Drosophila melanogaster: one gene and its partner. The protein of the gene in region 1 interacts with the protein of each later gene in a pairwise test. Each region holds a gene or a part of one and is shown in the gene's direction. Other genes may lie near its edges. The genes, in order: CG34386 and PolH.

The links.
Region 2: the proteins of CG34386 (region 1) and PolH interact in a two-hybrid assay, tested with the Drosophila melanogaster proteins (one large-scale study listed by BioGRID).

What each region holds. Positions count from the first base shown.
Region 1 is NT_033778.4:18,060,641-18,065,656, forward strand, and holds the start of CG34386 (uncharacterized protein), read left to right. Parts: upstream 1-1,774; 5' UTR 1,775-2,281; coding exon 2,282-2,299; intron 2,300-5,016.
Region 2 is NT_037436.4:21,938,083-21,943,817, reverse strand, and holds PolH (DNA polymerase eta), read left to right. Parts: upstream 1-2,005; 5' UTR 2,006-2,048; coding exon 2,049-2,480; intron 2,481-2,534; coding exon 2,535-3,031; intron 3,032-3,089; coding exon 3,090-4,818; 3' UTR 4,819-5,184; downstream 5,185-5,735. Other genes in the region: CG14562 (uncharacterized protein), read right to left, coding at 1-72; SLC22A family member, read right to left, coding at 5,301-5,498, 5,564-5,735. UniProt on the Drosophila melanogaster protein: DNA polymerase specifically involved in the DNA repair by translesion synthesis (TLS). Plays an important role in translesion synthesis, where the normal high-fidelity DNA polymerases cannot proceed and DNA synthesis stalls.

The sequences.
Region 1 (5,016 bases):
GTGGAATGCACTCGAATTTCAGTGGGTCATGGTGAAGTAAGCATTCCAGTAAAACGCAATCTAATTAAAAATTTTCCAAGCCGCTGCAAAATGCATATAGCATACACCGTATACACCGCGTTGTATGCTGAAATAATAATTTTTAATTGCAAAAATGATGGTGAAATAAAGCTATTCAACTAAAACCCGTTATGCATTCGGTGCACAAAAAGGCGAAAACAGAAGCAGAAGTTTGTGGAAAAATAGAGATCTGCATAAATAAATATAGAAACGAGAAGAAGAAACCGCAAAGCATGACCGCAGAAAATATATATACATACACAAAAGCTGCAAAACTTGTGGCCACTATTTGATAAACTTTAAGATGTCAAAGTGCCGAGGAGCCAGGAAACAGGCAGTGAAAAGTCTGACTGACAAACTTATGGACCAAGTAAATGTCCTAAAATGAAATGAAATGAGTGAGGAGCGAAATAGTCGAAAAGCCACAAAAAGCACAGGCATTACGTAGAAGTCAACAATGGAGGCAAGTTGGCCAACAGCAGATGAGGACTTCGCATAAAAATTGCTATTCTCGAGAACCTCACAAAAAAATTGCGCTCAGACTGGGCAATATCAGGCAGCAGACTGAATGAGGGTAGACCAAGCCAAACAAATGTAAAGTTTATTAGATCTTAAGTGAAGGAGCCGAGGGAGTGGCAGAGGGTCAGTAATGGCACAACGTCACATCGCCATCTGCAGAATGCAATAAAAGGGCTTAACCCAAAAGCAAACGTTTTGCAAATATGTGAAGCAGCTTTGAAAAATGCTAAGTTCATCCGGAAAGAAATAACACGAGAGGAAAACTGCATCTTCCCACATTTGCTCGGTTTTTTAACTCAACAAGTCCAATTTCAATCTTAAGAAAAAAAACTCAACTTAATATACTTAAATTGTTTAAATGTTATTATAATTTGAAAGATTTAAGAAGTTATGGCTGAAAAGTTTATTAGGGTGTATGCAAAAATGTCAGAAAAACATGATGACAGACGAAATCTGTCATTTTATTTGGCATTTCAATGATTTCCGCTTGAAAAGGGGTAAAAGAATTTATCTATGAAATTACCTGTGCTTCAATGAAAGATATCAAAAGCTAATTTTAGCTCGGGCATCAGCTGTCGACGTTCGTGAAACTTTAAGACAAGCTAATGAATATGCCCCAATAACTCGATTCAATTTGCGTCAGCGTGAAAATTGCCATAGATATACACGGTGGTTGTTGTTGTACTATCGCAGTGCTGGTTTGGTTTTTTTTTTTTTGTTGTAGCTTGTTCCGATATGTCAGTGAGTTAGTTTCATGTTATGGCCATAAATCAAGCCAAAAATTCAAATGTTATCAGCGCGGCGGGATATTCCACTGCAGTGTGGGTGCGTCTTCCTGTTCCCTCGCTCCCTATCTCTCTCTCTCTCTCTCTCTATCTCTCTCTCTCTCTCTCTCTCTCTTGCCGAACTATCCCTATCTCCCTCTTGCTGCCGACACTTGCGGGGCGATAAGCAAGCTGCCACCGCTCAGTTAGTTGCCCCTTCTACATTGGTATGCACTTTATATAATGCCGCTGATGACGACGCCGACAGTGGCGTCCAGCTTTATCCTTCTTACTATGTAGCTACAATGGAGGTCAACACAATAGCAGTCACTTTTTTTGGTTCATTAAAGAAAGAGAAAGTACAAAAACAGACCCATGGTAGTTTGAAAAAATATATAAACAAAGTATTGATATTACCATACCTATTTAATTTAATTAAATCCATCTAGTTTATTCTATTATCAAATAATTTGCATATTTCCGGCAATTTTTTCACTGACCACGCTTGTATTTACAGGCTTTGATAGGGGAGTAATTAGTTTGAGCGTTCCGCTGGCTTTTCCGCTCCCAATGTCAATCGCTCTCCTGTATACCAACAGGTGGCATATCTAGCCAAAGCATCGGCCATGGCGCTAAACCACGGCTAACACTTCTGGCCAACATTATAAATGGCCAAGCATCTGGCTTCTGGTGGCTCATTCGCACCAAAGGCCAATACCAATTCGCAGAAGCCTGAACAAAATCGCGTCGCGATCGCTCCGAACCGTCGGTGAAAAGTTAGAGAAATTTGTTTCGGTGTCTGAAATATATGGAAATAAGTTCTACAGCTACAAAATATGAAACAAGGATCTGTCAGTTGTCTTTGAAAATATCCCCAGACTCATCAGGTTCCTTGAATATTCGCAAAAATCAAAAGAAGCCATTTGCATTGTTGCGTCATGTGTTCCAAAGCATTGGTAAGTTCAACATATCTGTTGTGTACGAACAAATAATAGAAATACAAATTTGGGAATTCTTTCTCCACTTCACTATTTGCTCCACTGAAAACGATTATAAAGTCATGAATACTTAGCTCGAAATTCTGAAAGATGTAAAACCCAACTCTAAAGAGAGTTTTTCTGATAAAAATATTTGCATGCGGTGCCCTCTTACCCGTCAGTTTCAAATCCAGATTTTTTCTAAAACTCTGTGTGATTTTACTCGCACTGCTTCATAAGCCCATTGCAGTTTTGGGGGGAACAGTTTAAAGTTCTCCTCGCAAGAATGCGAGTGCAACACCAACACTCCTTTTGCCCGGTAACGATAAAACTTACATGAGCTTGGATCTCTGGCAATATGCAAACAGTAATTGAATTAATGCCATGAGCCAAACGAAATGTTGACCGAAACTACCCACACCCACAAGCCCGCCCACAAACACACAGACAGAGCAGCTGTGCACACAGTCAGCCAGAAATGGTTTGAAAATTGGAAATTAACAAAAAGCGAGCGGGAAAAGCGCTGGCACAAATTTAGCTGAAAATCCAAACAAAAAAAAAAAACCTCAGTGGAAGGGTGGGATGGGCTTGTGTGCATTTTCCATGTTGCTGCTGTTGTTCGTGCAGCATGCGAATTAGTGTTGCCACTCGACACTTTGTCCTGGCCAAAATCTGAGCCATGGCGGAGAAGAGAAGAAGAGCAGAACATCAGTGGAGGAGCGAGTGACAGCCGGCCATCGCCGACAGCAGAGAAGAGCTTGCACTTTTCTTTCGAGTGCAGTGGGCCTTTCCACTTTCTACAGCCCAATTTCCATGCCAGTTTTCCACCCGCTTTTGAATGCTTAACGTGTCACTTGGCTGCCTCAGAGTGTCGGCATGCAACTCGGCCAGCTGCAAAAATATGCAAATTAGACATCAAAAATGCTTTAATGAAAATTCCGCCTGCGGCAAAAAAAAAAAAAAGAATGAAACACTGCCTGCAAAAAGCGCTCGCACACTTTCGCCACAACTAATGTACATTTCTTGCTACGTCACTTTCAAAGAATTTAATGCTTGCCATGGCAAAATTGATTTCGCATTTTATGGCGGCCGGATGCTGATTAAACTGGGCCATAAATCGTTCCGGCCAATTGACAACTGGCCATGACGTATGGCCGCCCTCGAGCGAAGTAGTTCGCTAATTATCATGAAACTGACACCTACTATGTGAAGCCATCGGCGGATTAAATAGATGTTACTGATAACTGAAAAATTCCGCTGCTTTATTCGGCTTAAATGCGCCTGCATTTACTGCATTCTCTGTGTTAATCAGTTAGCTTCGCATCGCATGAGCAAATTAAATAAATTTTGCAATTAAAAGTTGCACTCCTTCGGAAGCATTTGTCAACGCAAATAAGCGTAAATTAAGTTTGTTTTGCTTCTGCATTTTTCTCTTTTGGCCATCTCTTGTTGCCTCCCCATGAATCCTGGCGAATACCCATCCCAAGATACTTCCTATTCCCAGTTTTGTTTTGTTCAGGCTGTGTTTCCACGACCGATGGTTGTCATTGTTGGTTTTGTGGTGTATACCCTTAAAAAAAATGTAGGGTTTCAAGAAACATCAGAAAGCACTCTGAAATAGATTGCTTTTTTACATTAATATGGATTGGATTAAACTATTTAAAGTTCATGGAAAGTTGATGCATACTAATATGAGATAAAAGCCTGATGATTCACATTTGATTACCAATTAGCTTATGATTTATTGGAAACTGGCTAACTAGAAGACCTGCATTGCATTAGGGTATCCAATGACCAACTAATTGGCCCTATAATTTCATTTTCCATTTTATTTTGCTTGCTAAATGGGTAGCACCGCAATACAAGGATGGCAAGTGCAGCTTCCGCTGGAACTAAAACGGAAACAAAAATGAAAATGAAAATGCAACTGAAACTGAAACTGGAACTCAAACGGCAGCCGAAGCTGCGACTGTAACTCACAGTCGCATTTCATGTTGTTTTAATTACTTTCTGATTTATTTAGAGTGGTGCCAAGGGGCGTGGAACATTGGAAGGGGCATGCCACATTGTTGACTATAATTAGTTGCATTGTCACCTGAATGCAGCCAAATGAAATGGCAAACAAAAACATGTCCCCAATTTTCGTCATTGCCGAAAAAACATGGTCTCGCATAAAATGTGCTCAAACAGCCAAATTATATTTACATTATTTAAGTGCAATGACAAGAATTTCCACAGGAAATTTGGCTAAAAACAACAAACGCCATGCCATGCCTTTCACACAGAATTAAATTAGGTTCTAGTCTGTTCGCAAAATGTGTTATGACCCGAAATTAGAGCCAAAATTTTCATTGTTTATTATTTTAGCCATGCTTTTCTGCCTCCATCTATTATAATTTGTATTTGCCCAATGCTTTTCCCCTGACTTTGGTAAAAGTTCTCCATCTAATCAGTGGGCTTAAAGTGAATCAAAAGCCTAGTTTCAAATTTGGCACATAACAAATTGTGTGATTAGCATTCGGTACGTGTTTTTGACACTACCCACAACCGAAAAACACGTCAGTTAAATAAATAAGTTCGGCCCAAATTGCATCCCATTCTCTGTGGTCATGTTTTGGCAGTGAAATGTAAAAACATTTTGCCATTACAATAAGCCATAAGCTGTGTAAAGTAGCTAACCTTGCAGTTAATGTTCG
Region 2 (5,735 bases), on another chromosome or scaffold:
CGCCAGGATGTCACCGTTGAGGGCATACGTCTGCTGCCTGGCAAAGTTGTAGGCCTGCAGGATCTTCACCATGGTGGCTCTCTACAAAAAAGACGATGAATTCTTTTTTTACGGCACTCTAGAATTACAAACTAAGCCCTCAGCTTAGTGGAGTGACTTCATCGCCGGACGTACACAGACTGATGGCCTCACCGTGAATCAGCCACTAGAGCAGGGAGTTCTCTGACTGAGCGTGGGACAGAGAAAGGGAGAAGTCCGAGTGACAGTGGATTGGCGGACCGCTTAGCGGGGCTCAAGTGGTTCTTATTTGGGCATGTGAACCATTAGCATAATTGTGCGCTTATACTGGGGTTAGGGATCGGAAGAGTGGATGTGCCGATGAGGCCTAAGGCTAGCGCATATGGGCAAGCTAGGCTAGGATAGGGCAGTTAAAAAGTGAAGCACTTAAATTTAATAAGAGTTAGCCGCAGAATATTTCGGGATTGTAGATAAAGTCGCGATCAAAATTAAATCTTTAATCGGTAAAAATTTTGTTAATCTACGATATATGTATGTATACTATCTGGAGTCACAAAAAGTAGGGAAGCAAATAAAACTGTGATAAATACATTTTAAATTGAAAATCCAAAAATATCACTCGCAGTACACCTTTTTCATTCACCATCCGTCTTTCAGAATCATAGATATGCAATCGAACTTTTGAACACCTTTTTTAAAAGAGAGAGTGGTACATTTGGTAAAACAAGAACCCGTCCCAACGTCGTGCGGCATCAAGTATTCCAATAGGTCAGTGCTGCACCTTTACTTCAGGTGGAAGTCCTGCGTTGTTGTATTGTACGCTTTGACCATAGAGTAAACAGACAGGAAATTAGGTCACGATAGTATACAAAAACACGCCCTTCCTGATTTCCGCCGCCCACCACCACCGGCATTCTATGAGGCGATTAAAGTGGGCCCGGTATCCCAACCCCGATTCCGAGTAGCTATACGTGAGTTAGCCCAATTAAGCCATTGGACATTCGCTGGACATACCACTCGGCGCATCAATCAAAACAGCCGGCCAGGAGGCGGACACGGAAGTGGCATAGCCGGAAATAGACAAGGATTGAGATTTATTTCTGGTCGCTCGGTCAAATCAATAATTCCCGCGTAATCCGTGCGTTAACCCAAATGAACTTGGGAAATGGAGAAGCCAGAACATGCAAATGTGTGTTACGGCGGGGAATGGGGTCACTAAGAGATGTGTGTGCGTTTTCAGTTGCATTTTGGCAGCGGCTTATATGGAAAAATCAATATCTAAGCATTTTGTTAGAAGGTGCCGCTGGAAACTTGGCAAATAATTTACTCTTTGGCAATGTCTTACGTTTAAACTCGTTTTATTATTCCATACAGAAAAACAGAAGACAGGGTTTAAGGATTTCTGAAATGCATTCTTCTTCGGCGTAGATGTTCCGACAATATATGTTACTTATTATTAGGTGGTAGTTATGCCACGTAAATATAACTCCCAGGACTCCCCGGACTGCACATAATATTTACTCGCGTTTGTTTATATTATTTCCGAGTGAGAAACGACAAACTATAAAATATCCAATATAGTGTGACCAGGTTTTGCTCTAATGCGAAGTACGGATTGGGTAGAGATAAGTATTTTTCAAACTACGCTAGACTACAAAGCATCGATACAAGGGTACGTTATTTAATACTCTCTAATTTTGAATTTCTAAATAGCTTAGTAATAAGAGAGTCTTTAAAAGTATAAAGCTCCACTACTATCGAAAATATGTTTTCAACAAAATTCTTTACTTTTACTTTAAGGAATATCTAACTAAGAAATGATTTATATCGAAGATATAACACAACTGCTTTGATATGTGTTAAAGAGCATATTTTTATTATTATTATTCCGAATTCTTTTATCAGATTTAAATATGGGAAACACTTTAATGTATTCAGTATTCAAAAATGCATCGGTATTTTAAGAAGTCCCCGCCACGGCCACACTCCTGGCGCGCAGTGAAATTCGCGCAATAATACGAAATGAAATCATGTCCAGCGCACGCAGCCATGTCAGCATGCAGAACAAGTACGACCGCGTGGTCCTGCTGGTGGACATGGACTGCTTCTTTTGCCAGGTGGAGGAGAAGCAGCATCCGGAATACCGCAACCGCCCGCTGGCCGTCGTCCAGTACAATCCCTGGCGAGGTGGCGGCATCATAGCAGTGAACTACGCCGCTCGTGCCAAGGGAGTCACTCGCCACATGCGCGGCGACGAGGCGAAGGACCTGTGTCCGGAGATCGTGCTCTGCCAGGTGCCGAATATCCGGGAGAAGGCCGATACTAGCAAGTACCGCGATGCCGGCAAGGAGGTGGCCAACGTGCTGCAGCGATTTACGCAGCTCCTGGAGCGCGCTTCCGTGGATGAGGCGTACTTGGACATAACGGAGACCGTTAACCATCGCATGCAGCAGATGCAGAGTGTAAGCTCTGGCACATAATTTTAAAGCGTTTTATTATTATTTTCCTCGTTGCAGGGAGCCTTTGCATTGCAACCGCAGGAACTGGTGAACACCTTTGCTGTGGGCTATCCCAGCATTGGCGACTACGTCAACAAGATAACAAATCGCTTCGCCAATCCCTACATGGACGACGAACGCTACCAGATGTCCTACGACCAAAACGACCTTCCCGCCGTCCGACAAAGCGACATTCGGCTTCTTATTGGAGCCTCTGTGGCAGGTGAAGTCCGCGCGGCTGTAAAAAAAGAGACAGGCTACGAGTGCTCGGCTGGCATAGCGCACAATAAGATCCTGGCCAAGTTGGCAGCTGGAATGAACAAGCCCAACAAGCAGACTATTTTGCCGTTGACGGAGACCGCCAGCCTCTTCGACTCCTTGCCTGTTGGCAAGATCAAGGGGCTGGGTGGCAAATTCGGTGAGGTGGTGTGTGAGACATTAGGCATAAAGTTCATGGGCCAGGTGGTCAAGTTTTCGGAGGTAGATCTGCAGCGCAAGTTTGACGAGAAGAATGGGTGGGTCCCTTAAGAGGAGTAGACCACGTTCAAAGTAACTTATTTCCTCTTATTCCAGAACCTGGCTATTTAACATCTCTCGCGGCATAGACCTGGAAGCCGTGACTCCCCGCTTCTATTCGAAAAGCATTGGCTGCTGTAAAAAGTTTCCGGGTCGAAATAACATTACGGGGTTGAAAACCCTTCAACATTGGCTTGGTGAGCTTTCCTCCGAGATCAACGACCGCCTTGAGAAGGACTTCATCGAGAACAATCGCAGGGCCAAACATATGGTGGTGCAATATGTGCAGGACATTGACGGCGAGGAGGTGGCCAGCTCCCGCTCGACTGCTCTCAGAGATTACGACCAGGAGTCCATCGTAAGGCTTTCTCTAGACCTAATCAAGGCAAACACTAAAACGTTTCTGCGTCCTGGTAGCGAGTCTGCTTTAAACAATGCTATCAAGTTCCTTGGCATTAGTGTTGGCAAGTTCGAAACCGTCTCTAGTGGGCAAAACAAGCTGCAGGAGATGTTTGCTAACCAGGCTGCCAAGAAACGAAGGGTAAGTGGAGATGAGCCAGGGCAACTGCCTAAAGTTGAAATGGAGAAAAAGCAGAAGCAAACGGACGAATTTAAGATGAAGAGCTTCTTTGCAAACTATTTGCAAGGAGCTAAAAAAGAGGATGCGAAAGCAGACGGCATTTCTGCGAATCCCTTGGCTGCTGCAGCAGGTGCTCCAAACAAGAATTTCGTAGAGGAATACAAACATAAGCTTCATGCGGCCGTAAGGACTGAAGGAACTGTTCTCACATCAACACCAGCGGAGTTCAAGGAAAGCTTTTTTTCACAGTACCTAAAACAACAAAAAAAGACAGGACAGCAAGGGTCGGTTACATCGAGGGAGGACTCCTTAGATGTGCAGGAGCTGGCCGAGGAATTGGACGCCATTGAGGCTGACAATTCGAAAGATTTTGAAGAAGACACTGAAGAGGAGACGGAGTTAACTAGTGATACCCACATGTCTAAGCCTGAAGGACAGTCATCCGATGCCGGACAAGAACAGGATCCAAACACCTTGAATGATTCAACAGGGAATGACTTATACGTTGAAACTGGTATTGTGCCTCCCACGCTTACTGAAGACGAATTGAAGCCTTCAACATCAAAAAGAAAGTTCGATGAGATCGAAAGTTCTGTAAGTAATTACAAGGAGTGTTACGTAGAGTTTGCAGTACCCAACCTTCGCACCGATATCTTGCCTACTATCAAATGCGATCAGTGCGGAGCAAACATTCCCGACGAAGTTAAGTCCCTACAAACACATAGAGACCATCACTTCGCCCAGGAACTAAGCCGAACGCTAAGAAGCACCGAGCGGGAAGAGAGGACGCAGAGCCGACAGAAGATATCTCTTAAGCCGACGCCACCCAAAAAGAGCAAGAAGACGGCTGGTTCTGGTAGCAGTTCCTACAGTACGGCACCACCGAGTAACAGCATAACCAAGTTCTTCCGCGCCAAACCAACTCAGGAGCAAGCGCCCAGTGATCCACAGATGAATCAGTGCCCCGAGTGTAAGGCTTTCATCAAGTGTGTAGACATGCCGGAACACTTAGACTACCACGTAGCCAGAAACCTTCAACGTGAACTAAACCAGCAGGATCTGCGAACTCGAACCGCAGCTCTGAATAAAGAAAAAATATCTCCAGTTCAGCCAAAGAAACAATCTCAGAAGAAACTGAACTCAACCATTTCTGCATCTTCAAGCGGAACAAAGACAATTGCCCAGTTTTTCAGCCAAAGCAATTAGAGAAACCCTTACACCGCTCCAAGTATTTGAACCTGTATAAGTACCTACGAATGGACCACAGACAAATTTACTTCACTTTAAGATTAAAACATTTTCACATTCAATTCCAAATTAAAAAACAATAATAATTTTTTGCTAGCACATATCCTAGTTATTAAAATCTCAATCTGGCTCTGGACAGCAAATTGATTAGGATTGTTTATTTCTTTTTTTTACTGCTGTTTATTATTTTTTTTTTCAAATCGAGTAATGAAACTCTTAGATTTAATTTTTTTTGTTTTATTTTTCCAATTTTAGGCTTAAGTATTAATGTTGATCATTACCATTACCATCCATCCGTTAATTAATAAAACACAACGCTCTGTCAATGCTAAATATTTTATATGTATAGTATGGTTTGTTCTTAGCGTTATAACACATTTGAAGAGAAATGTATTTGTCTTTGTATTTGCAGGCTGCCTTAAAATAAGATTACGTTAGAACTACTGCGCTTGAGTGGCCGTGACGACTAGATCAAGATCCTTGCTCTTCGATTGCTTCTTGACGCCTATGGCGTCCGCTTCCTGCACTGTTGTAGGTAAAACTACGTTGGTGGTCTCTGGAAAGAACAGCGTGAGCAGGCCGCTCACGATGGCGGCGCCGGCGAAGAGCATGGCAGGAGCATTGGCATAATACTTGGCCTGTGGAGAAAGGGAAAGGAAGCACTTAGATATAACAGGAGATCCTTGTAGCTTTGAGCACCCACCAGAAGAGGCGTCTGCGGGGCCAGCATGGAACCAAACCTGCCCATCATGGAGCAGAAGCTAAGCAGACTGTTTCTCAGATTCGTGGGATAGATCTCTGAGGCGAAGAAATAGAGCACCTGGAAGCTGGCAGTGATGGTCAGTTTGCCAACAAGAAATAGCACCAATTGAAGC